Schizosaccharomyces pombe: one gene and its partner. Changing the gene in region 2 together with the main gene of any one other region gives a genetic interaction. Each region holds a gene or a part of one and is shown on either strand. Other genes may lie near its edges.

Evidence for each region. Genes that interact genetically often act in the same process or in processes that back each other up.
Region 1: mutations in clr1 (region 2) and clr6 impair growth when combined (synthetic growth defect), as found in Schizosaccharomyces pombe (one study listed by BioGRID).

What each region holds. Positions count from the first base shown.
Region 1 is NC_003423.3:848,787-853,088, forward strand, and holds clr6 (class 1 histone deacetylase Clr6), read right to left. Parts: upstream 2,691-4,302; 5' UTR 2,573-2,690; coding exon 2,533-2,572; exon of another isoform or gene 2,491-2,532; coding exon 2,429-2,490; exon of another isoform or gene 2,384-2,428; coding exon 2,333-2,383; exon of another isoform or gene 2,291-2,332; coding exon 2,173-2,290; exon of another isoform or gene 2,130-2,172; coding exon 2,099-2,129; exon of another isoform or gene 2,057-2,098; coding exon 2,013-2,056; exon of another isoform or gene 1,923-2,012; coding exon 1,877-1,922; exon of another isoform or gene 1,822-1,876; coding exon 1,587-1,821; exon of another isoform or gene 1,541-1,586; coding exon 1,448-1,540; exon of another isoform or gene 1,403-1,447; coding exon 1,294-1,402; exon of another isoform or gene 1,250-1,293; coding exon 1,109-1,249; exon of another isoform or gene 1,069-1,108; coding exon 960-1,068; exon of another isoform or gene 918-959; intron 913-917; coding exon 854-912; intron 803-853; coding exon 723-802; 3' UTR 559-722; downstream 1-558. Other genes in the region: cys11 (cysteine synthase), read left to right, coding at 1-399; spo9 (ER farnesyl pyrophosphate synthetase Erg20), read right to left, coding at 3,239-3,820, 3,861-4,061, 4,130-4,267. UniProt on the Schizosaccharomyces pombe protein: Responsible for the deacetylation of lysine residues on the N-terminal part of the core histones (H2A, H2B, H3 and H4).
Region 2 is NC_003423.3:2,995,319-3,001,694, reverse strand, and holds clr1 (SHREC complex intermodule linker subunit Clr1), read right to left. Parts: upstream 4,605-6,376; 5' UTR 4,458-4,604; coding exon 741-4,457; 3' UTR 559-740; downstream 1-558. Other genes in the region: ABC1 kinase family ubiquinone biosynthesis ATPase Coq8, read right to left, coding at 1-334; protein mhf1, read right to left, coding at 4,816-4,957, 5,008-5,186, 5,232-5,243; peptidyl-tRNA hydrolase Pth1, read left to right, coding at 5,629-5,724, 5,772-6,076, 6,116-6,161, 6,198-6,371. UniProt on the Schizosaccharomyces pombe protein: Regulates silencing of the mat2 and mat3 loci. Organizes the chromatin structure of the mating-type region where it also participates in establishing the 'cold spot' for recombination.

The DNA of each region.
Region 1 (4,302 bases), 2.1 Mb from region 2:
AGTGTTTTGTATAGCCATATCAAAACGAAGGGTAAGCATCCTGACAACAAGGGTTCTTCATTTACCGAAGGCATTGGTCAAGGTCGTATTACTGGAAATGTCCAACCTGTTTACGATCTCATTGACGATGCTATGAAAATCCCTGACGAAAAATCTATTAACATGTTCTTTCGTTTGTTAGACCAAGAAGGTCTTTTCTTGGGCGGCTCTTCTTGCTTAAATGTGGTCGCTGCTGTTGAAATGGCTAAAATATTAGGTCCTGGCAAGACGGTGGTTACAATTCTTTGTGATTCTGGTCACAAGTATGCCACTCGTTTATTCAGTCGCTCATTCCTTGAAAGTAAAAAATTATTTGATGTAATTGAGCCACAATACAAGAAGTATATTGTACTTCCTTAATTGTTTTGACCTTTTACTTCGGATAGACATATAATTACTACTACCTTGTGATTTCCGTTTCTTCTTTCTTTGTGCGTTAATTTTTTGGCTATTCCTTTTTTTTTAAAACCACAAGTCACATCTAGAGTATAGAATATAAAGTGTTTGTTATTATATGTAATGAGCATTTTCAATTTAATGCTGAAGTCTAATTATGCTGGAGAATTCTTATAAATAAGGGTATTTAAACATAATAGCTTTTATAGTATTCATGATTCAAATAACACAAAAAAACCGAGTATAATGGATTCAAACACCATGAACATACAAAATTTTATATAGGTCTATACGCGCTCATCCATAATCTCTTCTTTCGCAATGTTCTGCTTTTCGGCATTTTCAAACGTAAAGTCACCGGGAGTTTCTAATGTAAGAGTATTTGTTAGCACATTTTTCGATAACCGCTTATACTTACTATGCATTTGAACGCTAGGTGCAAAAGATAAGTTTCTCAAATTTTCGATGATTTCAGAGCTAAATTTGGTCAGCCTCGTAAGAATAAAACTCAAAAGGTAGCATACGTTATCGAATCAAGATACTGCCGAGTGTTATGGTTTTCCATATTGTTTGAAAGAACATTGAGCTTGTAATCGGGACCGTAATATTGTAAATAGTCATTATAAGGAAGGTCTTGGATGGGTTAATAAACAATTTACGTATTGGTACTTACTTTCATCAAGCTCTTCGCCGGCTAAAAGACCAGTTTCATAAGTCCAGACACGGGCAACATTCCGTACAGTATATCCACCTCCTCCAACGCATATCATTGGCAAATTAAAGCTCTTAACAAAATCAACGCACATTGAATGTCCTGTTGAGGGGAATTAGTAAAAACGAGAAACAGTAGTTACTTACCCTTCATTGACAGATTGAAGCAGCCTAGTCGATCACCAGCGAGAGAATCTGTTCCACATTGTAAAATAACAGCTTCCGGTCGAAACCATTGCATTATGTGACTTATAACCTAATTCAGATTGTTAGAACAAAGAAATTTATAAAAAAGACTTACAGGCTTAAATACGCTTTCATAAGATTCATCGTCAATACCATCTCTCAAAGGAACGTTAACAGCATAGTTTTTTCCTGTTCCAATTCCGGTGTCCTAAAATATTAGAAAAGTAAATCCAAATATAAAGCCGCATGCATACCTTGATATGACCGGTTCCTGGAAAATATTCACCGAATTTGTGGAATGAACAAGTCATAACGCGATCCGTAGTGTAGAAAAATTCTTCTACACCGTCTCCGTGGTGAACATCAATATCAATGTAAAGAACACGTTGATGATATTTCAGCAATTCTAAAGCAGCCAACGCGATATCATTAACATAGCAGAAACCAGAAGCTTCACGTTTTTTAGCGTGATGTAGGCCTCCAGCCCAACTTAATTAAGTGGTTAGTTGATCTTCAAAGTACTAAAAAATCCTCAATAACATACTTAATAGCAATTTCTGCGTTTCCCGAGTTAAGTTCTTGAGCAGCACCTAAACCAATGTTAGTTAAAGTCCTATACTCCATTCACAAATTCAGCGGATGCTTCAAAGCCCCTTTTTTGGGAAAAACTTTTATCTTACCAATTGAACCGCCAGCAGAAATTGAACAAAATTCGTACAGCCCACTAAACAATTGTTAGTATAAAAAATTTGATAAACGCACATACTCAAAAACAGGACAATCATCACCGACGTTAACTAAAATCACGGTTATTTATAAATAATCGAAATGAAATCTTACATTTCAGCTGATGCGGTTGAAATTTTTCCATCGTGTCAGGTGTAACTCTCCAAAGAAATTCAATATACTCATCGGTATGACAACGAGTCATGTCATTCCTTGTTGCTCTAACAGGTGTCTTGTATACTTTATTAGTATAAAAAGGAGAAATAGAACTTACAATAACGTTCAACTTCTCATACAAGTTGTAATTAACGACCAGATTATGAACCTAAGTAGGTTAATGATGATAAATAGTTATAGCTTTATATCATACCATGCGAACGCGATGAGGCTTCATTGGATGCTGAGGACCATAGTGATAATTTCCAACATCCTCTATTTCAAAAATTAGCTAGGATCTTACTAGTTTACACGTACCATCATAGAAATAAGAAACCTTTTTCTTCCCGAACCCCATAGTTTCAAATAGGATTTTCTTTCCCAATTATTTAATAAGGCAAACAGTTTCCTTATGTTATCAATTAAAAATGTTAGGTTCGGAGCGCTTTCGCGTAGAATTGTTGCTATGATGGAGTGGTCAGAAGCTGAAGCAGCAGCCTGGTTCTATTGAATATTTCTCCCATCCACGAACTAGTGTTTCAAGATCTTAAATAAGTAACGATTAATTGTTCAATTTAAGTAAAATACTGTTATAACAAAAAGGACTAACCTTGGAATGTCTATTAAAATGTGCTGTATGTTTTTTTCAGTGACAGTTTTTGCATTTTCTCAAATGAGCAATATAATAATTCTTTCATAACCAATCCAATTAACAACGATCGTCAATGTCATTTGATGTTATTATTATACTACTCACCAAATGTTTACATCTACATAATCTAAATCTTGCTTAGTTTCCCAAGTAGAGTAATGTATCAACCAGATAATCATTAAAAAAGTAAATTCTGAATGCAGATCTTTAACAATAATGAAAAAAACCATAAATGCTATAATGATATGAAACCTTAAGAATAACCCTAAATACAAATCGTCGATCAGTATCATAAAGAATTTGGAAGGTCATCAAATAATAAATTTTAAATAAGGAAGAAGATAATAACGGTTATTTAAAATGAAATGACTGCTACCGTGACCTTTTGTAAATGAGCTGAAAAAACTTAGTAAATATACACTTTTTCAATCCAGTAGATTCATCAATCAAATCAATTTCTTTGGATATAGAATCCACCATGTCATCTTCAAATTTGTGATATAATTCAGGTATTTGAAGCTCATGATAAAGCTGCTTTATTACAGCTATGTTTTCAGACCCTGCTTTTCCATAATGAGCACGAAGAAGATTCAGCTGATCCGCAGAGGCAAATTTTTCAGCATAACAAACTAGCCATGTGCATTTATTGTCTTGTATGTCCATTCCCACTTTACCCAAAACCGTGTAATCACCGAAACAATCTAAGTAGTCATCTTGGACTTGGAAATAATAACCAAGAAGTTTTGAAAGCTTTATAGTCGTATCATACGCCTTTTGATTCGAATTGCGAGACAACAATAAAGCACATTTAATAGGAAGGTAAAAGGAATAAAATGATGTTTTATAAGTGATAATAAAGTCATATTTCATTAAATCAAAAGATCGTAACGAGGCTTCTCCGTCTCGTGATGAAAGCAAATCTTCTTGTTGCCCCAACTCGGTGAGAAAAGTAACCTTGAAAGTAAGCTTTTTAGTTGAATTTATTGTAACATACCTCTCGGAAAGTATCCAATAAATCGACATAGTATGGCATATTTCTGAAATACTTTCGAATTAAAAGTGGAATACATGCTTCTAGTAATTGTGACTCATTAATTGCCCTTCGTACACCAACTACCAAATACCAACAATCTAAACCACGTCGTTTGATAGACTGATCCATAATATCATCTGCCATTAAAAAGCAACCTTGCAACTGAACATCCGTCAGTACCCCAGTGATTTTACGTAAACAAATCTGAATTAAAAAACCAGTTTACTTACAATTTCAATTAGCCAACCTAGGAGAGCAGCGTCGCGAAATTCTGCTTCTTCAAGTTCTCGATTAATAAGGCTTGTTAAAGATTGCAAAACTGCCAGTCCTCGATTATTCTTTCCTCCTAACGTATTTCTCTTTATGGACTAAATGAAGGTTAGCTGTCGCGTTATAAAGGCAA
Region 2 (6,376 bases):
TTTTTATTTCTTTAGAAGATTGCTCCTGCAAATGTTTGACACCGGAGGCATCTTTCTGAACATCTAAAGAATTTCCCAAAAGCGTTCGTTTCGTATCTTTAGAAGATAACCCCAATTCTTTTATTTGGGAAGCATGTTTGACTTTACCGTTTCTGTATTTCTCCAATAATTGAACGTGCAGGTCACTTGTGGACCTTTTCGAACTGGTTATTTTCGATGCATCATACAGTTGTTTTGCTGTAATTGACGAAGCTTCAGCCTTTAAATATGATTTGGCAACATTTCGAACTGCGGATCCTATTGTTATAAGTTCCCAAAGCCCTGAATTAGCCATTTGTTCTGATTAAATAAGAGAAAAATAAGCCTTGGAATAAAAAGTGCTTCAATTTCGAATGGAAGGGCTTTCAAGTGAATTTATTTATTTCAAAAACCAGACATTTGATTATTTTCATTAACTAGCCACTGTTATAATGGTTTTATGAATCCAAAAATGATAAAAGTTTATGATGGTTCCTAGCGGCGGTTACTTCAGTTAAGCAATCGAACCATATGTATGTACTTGAAGGGACGCGTGTACAGTAAATTAAGGACAATCAATAATTTTTTATATTTACTTTACATACAATAACTATATAAATAAAAGACATAAGATGTTTGTTCAGAGAGATTCACGCCAGTTGGATTAAACCATAATTAAGAAAATAATTGTTGAGATCACGCTTGTAACGTACAAAGACGGATCATTCTATTTTTATATTTTTACGTTGCACAATAGACCCTTCGATTAGCAAGGATGGAGTAGGGACACTTTTGCTGACAGGTAAAATAAAAGAACCATGACGACCAACCCGGGCATAATTTGAATCAAAATCGTACCCAGTATTATCATTTTTACCTTTACTATCGTACAAACCCGCAAATGATTTATAAACATTCCTCTTAGCTAAAGCAGCTATAATTTTATCTTTAGACTGATTGCTTTGGGTTAGTCTGGAAAGTAAAGATGAGTTAAAACCAGGTGGAGGAACCGGATACCAATTCGCAGGAGCAGGTTTAGCTATCGGTGTACAAGTTTCCATAAAACATTCTACTTCACCAGACTTCTGTGTGTAAGCATTTCTTGTACGACGTGCTTCTTCTTTGACATTGCCATTTCGAATTTTAATGAAAGACTCTGGTGTGAACTTGAAAGGTAAATGTGAATGCTGCAAATGTTTGAACATATCTTCATAATTAGAAAAGCACTTTTTACAGTTAGAAACTTCACAATTAAGCCGGATGTTGTTCAAATGGCCGCGCAAATGCATTTCAAACTCTTCTGATGGCAAAACCATATCACACGAAGCCCATAGGCATTTAACCACAGAACAACTTTTCGGATGATGTAACAATAAAACGTGTTTTATAAAATTTTCCAACGAATGAAGATTGGCTAAACAACCCTCCCATTGACAACGGTATTCAGCATAACCTTTACTCAACATGTTAAAGGCTTTAAGTACTTTCTCCTCAAAGGGGTCAATTAACACAAGCGGTTTACAAGCCTTTTTACTAAGCACTGCTTCGTTCCCTGCTTGACTAAGGCTCACGTCAGCAACGCTCGTAGAAATATTCTCACGCAAATTCAAAGACTCGGAGTCAACGACATTGCTTTGATCGCTTTGAGCACCAGCATTAGTAGGTACTTCAACGGGCATTGATTTAGGAAGCTCAGTTGTAATATGAATTGAGGAAATCACATTTTTATCTCCACCGTCCTCTTTAATTTTGTCGGCAAATGGAATATTAGAACTTCTAAAATCTTTATCAATGGTATCAAAAGATCTTTTTGCTGGGATTTTAATTGAACCAGTATCATGGAAAGGTTGTTTTGAGGACGTCGATTCAATTCCAAAATACTCTTTGCGCTTAACAGTTGAAATATCCTTGGTTAAGTTGATCGACTCACAACTTGATAGTTTCCCAGAAATTAGTGGCTTCAATGCGCTTCTGCTTTGTTCTTCGCCAGAATTGTTTTTAGATACATCATTGCCAGATATCAGTTTGTCAAAATCATTAGTACCAGAATCTTTAGCCTGTTTTGTTGAAGACGCATCTTCTTTAAGAGTCTGAAGATTGCTGTCCTTTGAAGTAAAGTAATCTTTACGAGTTGAATCGATAGGAGAAATCTCGTTGTCACTATGAAGAAGAGATGAAACGCTAATGTGAGTAGAAAAACTATCCTTCGTCAATGCTTTAGAATTTGGTGCAGCATGAACAAAAGGAGACTTATCGGGTACAGCCATTCGATTGCTAGAAGCATCCCCATCGCTACTAATACTGGAGAGCTTAGAGTTAGATGGTTTAGGAAGCGAACAGTCCGTATTGTCACTTATTACATTATTTTGATCCACAGAAAACTGCTTTTTAGGAACCAATCCCGGACGTATGGTTTTTATTTCTGCAAGACAAACCTGAGATTCTGCAGAAGGACTTAAAAATGTGCTAGTCAATAATTCTTTTTCATTCGAATTTTCTATTTCACGTCCAAAAGCTCTCTTTGTAACGTCCAGCTTCTCAGGAGGTTTTTCCTGATCAGAATTATATATTCCATCGGCGGAAGCTGCTATGTTTGATACGTCAGCTGTTTGAGCTTGAGTTTCAGAATTATTATGAGATGTCGGAATTCCCTCAGGCAATAATTCCTTTTCATTTCTAGGCCCACTTGTCAAACCAGACGACTTAAAACTAGAATTCGTTTTCAAGACATTGTTAGTTGTGTCAATGTAGGAAGAAGTTGATGACGGTTTCACCAAAGTAGTTTCCGAGCTAACAGATTTTTGTTGTATTGGTTCCTTTTTGCTTTTAATCAAATAATTATCCTTATCAGTATTAAGTTTACTAATGGTGTCGACAGTTGAAGAGGAATACACTTCCGACGCCAGAGATTTAGTAACTCCTAACGAAGAGCTTGATTGAGCAGAGATTTCCGAGTGTTTATTTCTCGTAGGATAGCATACACGTCCGTTAACTGCAACACCATTTTGTTCACGAAGTTGAATGACTTTATCAGGAGATAAGTCTAGCTGTTTTATAGCTTTTTCAAGAGTTTGGCGGTTGTAAGCAATCTCTTCATTAAACCGCCTATGTTTCAAAAAAGAGCCATCCGGTCGCAGGTTAGTAATTGGCAATGAAGGGAACTTCGAGGACACTAACGAAAGATTATTCCAATCGGCCAGGTTACGCAAATCGCCTTTGAATTGTTTTTTCAATTGACCTTTATTTAGTTCGTTTTGCATTAGCTTTAGCTCCAATGATAAATTAAGTCTCGGTCTATCAGGTTTTGATCGAGAGAAAGACGCTGTAGAGTATAGGATTGAGGATGCAATATTATCAGGTGTTAAAAACGGAGAAACAGATGGACACACCTTTTCAGAGTTTAAATTATCAAAAAATGTTTTCTTAACAGTAGAGTTAAGCCCCTCTTTAAGCACTGCTGAAGAGCCTTGGAAACGCAGTCCTTCAAAAGGGTTTGCATGAGCTGCATTTTTTAAGGTTGAAGGGTTTCGCATACTTCCAAGATTATAAGAAGACGTATTACGGGAACTTGTGATATCTTTTTTTGAAGGTGAGCGGTCATAAAGAGATGCTGACGCGTTAACTTTATCGGAAGTTGTTTGCACCATACCATGCCCTGGCTGTTGGCTTCCCGAGGAAATAAGCTTTTCTGAACCATACACATCTAAAGAAGATATATTGGACTTAGTTATAGAAGACGGAATAGAAGAATGATTAGAGTTGACTGAGGAAGCAGTTTTCTTTGAATTATTTTTGACATTTGGAGATACGTGTTTAACCGGGCTAGACTTATTAGATGGGAGATTAGAAAAAGGACGAAATTGATGCTGATAAAATGTTTTTTGTTCGCAAACCAATCCAGGATTTTGTGATGAACTCTGAAAGTCGAATGGTTTAATACCAGCATATTTAGAATTTGATAAAATTGAAGTGTTAGGTTCTGTATTTACCGAAGAATTGGGTTTGAAATTACCATGAGATACATTGGAGACTTGTTGTTGTGTATTTGTTGAAGCCCGTTGATAAACTTCAGATTGAGCTTCCTGTTGCACCTGTAGCTTTGGGCGACCCAAAGTAGTTATCCGAGCTACTAATGTCTGTGAGTACGATTCGAATGGAGGGGGATTAATGAAGAACCCAGTTTTTACAATTTCCTCATACAATTGAACAATTGTAGATATATCGTTGACTGGACCCTCCCTGACTCGTAAAGCCATCAACCATGGACGCAAAATATCATACGTCGACAATAAATATGATAAAGCGCCAGGTGGAATAAGTGAATGAACCAGAGTTTTCACATTGAATGGAGCAGCATGATAAAAGCAGAAAAAATATAGGAGTCTGAGTTGTTGCAATTCTGTCAATGTCTCTGAAGAACTGATATCAGGTTCCGCCATATCTAACAACGAATTGCATGCAGTTGTGTCTTTAAATGTGACAAAAAGTATTTATTACCATTAATTAAATTCCAAAAGGTGGAATTCCTTGGGACCAGCCCTTCGAATTACTGTTCGCACTATTTATTGTGGTGCTGCTGCTATTGATGAAGTGAACTACGACGGGAAGGAAAGAATAGCCGGGGATGCACACTAAGATATCAAAAAACGGGGAAATTTGTTACAACAAAGAATAACATTAAATAAAAAAGAACTAATAATAAGTCTTGACAATGGTCAATCTATGTAATAGAAAGTTATTAACGATAACACAGCGTTGAAAATGAGCTATAATCACTGTACCCACAATGGATGTGCATTATGTTGTACTGTTTTCTTTCTTTTTCTTTTTAGATTTGATCGATTCTTTGTGAAAATTATTGATAATCTCATATAATCCTTCATTTCTTCGACAACATAAAAGCACATCCTGTGGTTGAACCGTTTTCCGTCCTGCATGTCTATTATTTTGTTAATAAGATTAAAATATTTATTTCCATCAAGAGCGTACTCTGCAAAAGCCTCAATGTCTTTAGCTAATACACGTATTTGTTCCCAAACCATTTCGGTAACTCCAACACAAAAAAGCTCATCTACAATGACATTTCTTGACTCTGATTCAGTTAATTCAGAAGCTGTACGATTACAAACTTCTTGTGTAACGTGAAAAATCTCTGCTTTGAATCTCTCCTAGAATACCAGTTAGCCAATACCTATATTAAAATGCATTATTACCTCCTCCATCATATAACTTTGATTACTTTTTATTAATTTTCGTAATAATACGTTACTAAAAGTTAAGATAAGTAGTCTCCTTATAATTAAATGGCTAAAACATGAAATAGGTGGTTTCCAAGTTTCTTCGTAGTTTGAAACATTGTTTTATTAATCTAAACTAAAATATTATTTTCGTGGGGAGCTAACCGTGCTAAATACCAAAGAGTAGGCCAAAACCAATCAGTTGGAAAGTATTTATTAATCTTAATAAAACCTTGTGCCTAAATAAAAATTTTCTCAGAAAAAAGTCCATGGTGCAAACACAATTCTTGGTAAGTTGAAAATTCTGTTGAGGATGCTAAAGCTTTTTTTCAATCAAAAAAAATTTTTTTTAAAATAAGTACCAAAGTTCCGTATGGCAATAAAACATCTTCCTAAGATTTTAATTGCCAGGAAAAACAAAGCAGAAGTTAACCATTGCGACCTTAAAAGAAGAGTTTCTATAAAAATTGTTATGATCCGTAAAAGTCTTTCCAAAATGGGATACTAATCCGAAAGATCTATGGTTTAGGAAATCCAGGATCAGCGTTCGTCAAATCGAGACACTCACTGGGGAAATTAATGGTGAGTATGTACGCTGACAGCATGGCATTTCCAAAAAATTGGCCTAGTACCAAAGAAAATCTCACCTTGGTTTTGTCCACCTCATACATGAATGATTCCGGGAAACAGTTGAAAAAGATATCTAATGATTTTGTGCGCAAAGTTTCGCCATTAGACAAAATCGTATATGTAGTTGTGCATGACGAATTGGAGTTAGATTTAGGCAAAGTCAAGCTTCGTTTGCCCGGAGGCTCTCACAGGTAAGTAATATCCAAAGCAATACTTATTAACATTGCTAGGGGACACAATGGGATTCGCTCTTGTCAAGAATTCCTAGGAAAAGAAGTAAGGTACACATTTAATTTCATTACTAATTCAAAGAGTTTTTACAGGATTGGATTGGGAATTGGACGTTGTGAGTCAAGGAATAGGGAGGACGTTTCAGATTATGTTTTGAGTAAATTCAACTCTAATGAAATGAAACTAATTGAAACTGATATATTCCATAAGTTTTGCAACATTCTTCAACAATTACAACTTTCAATTGAAACATAGGGACT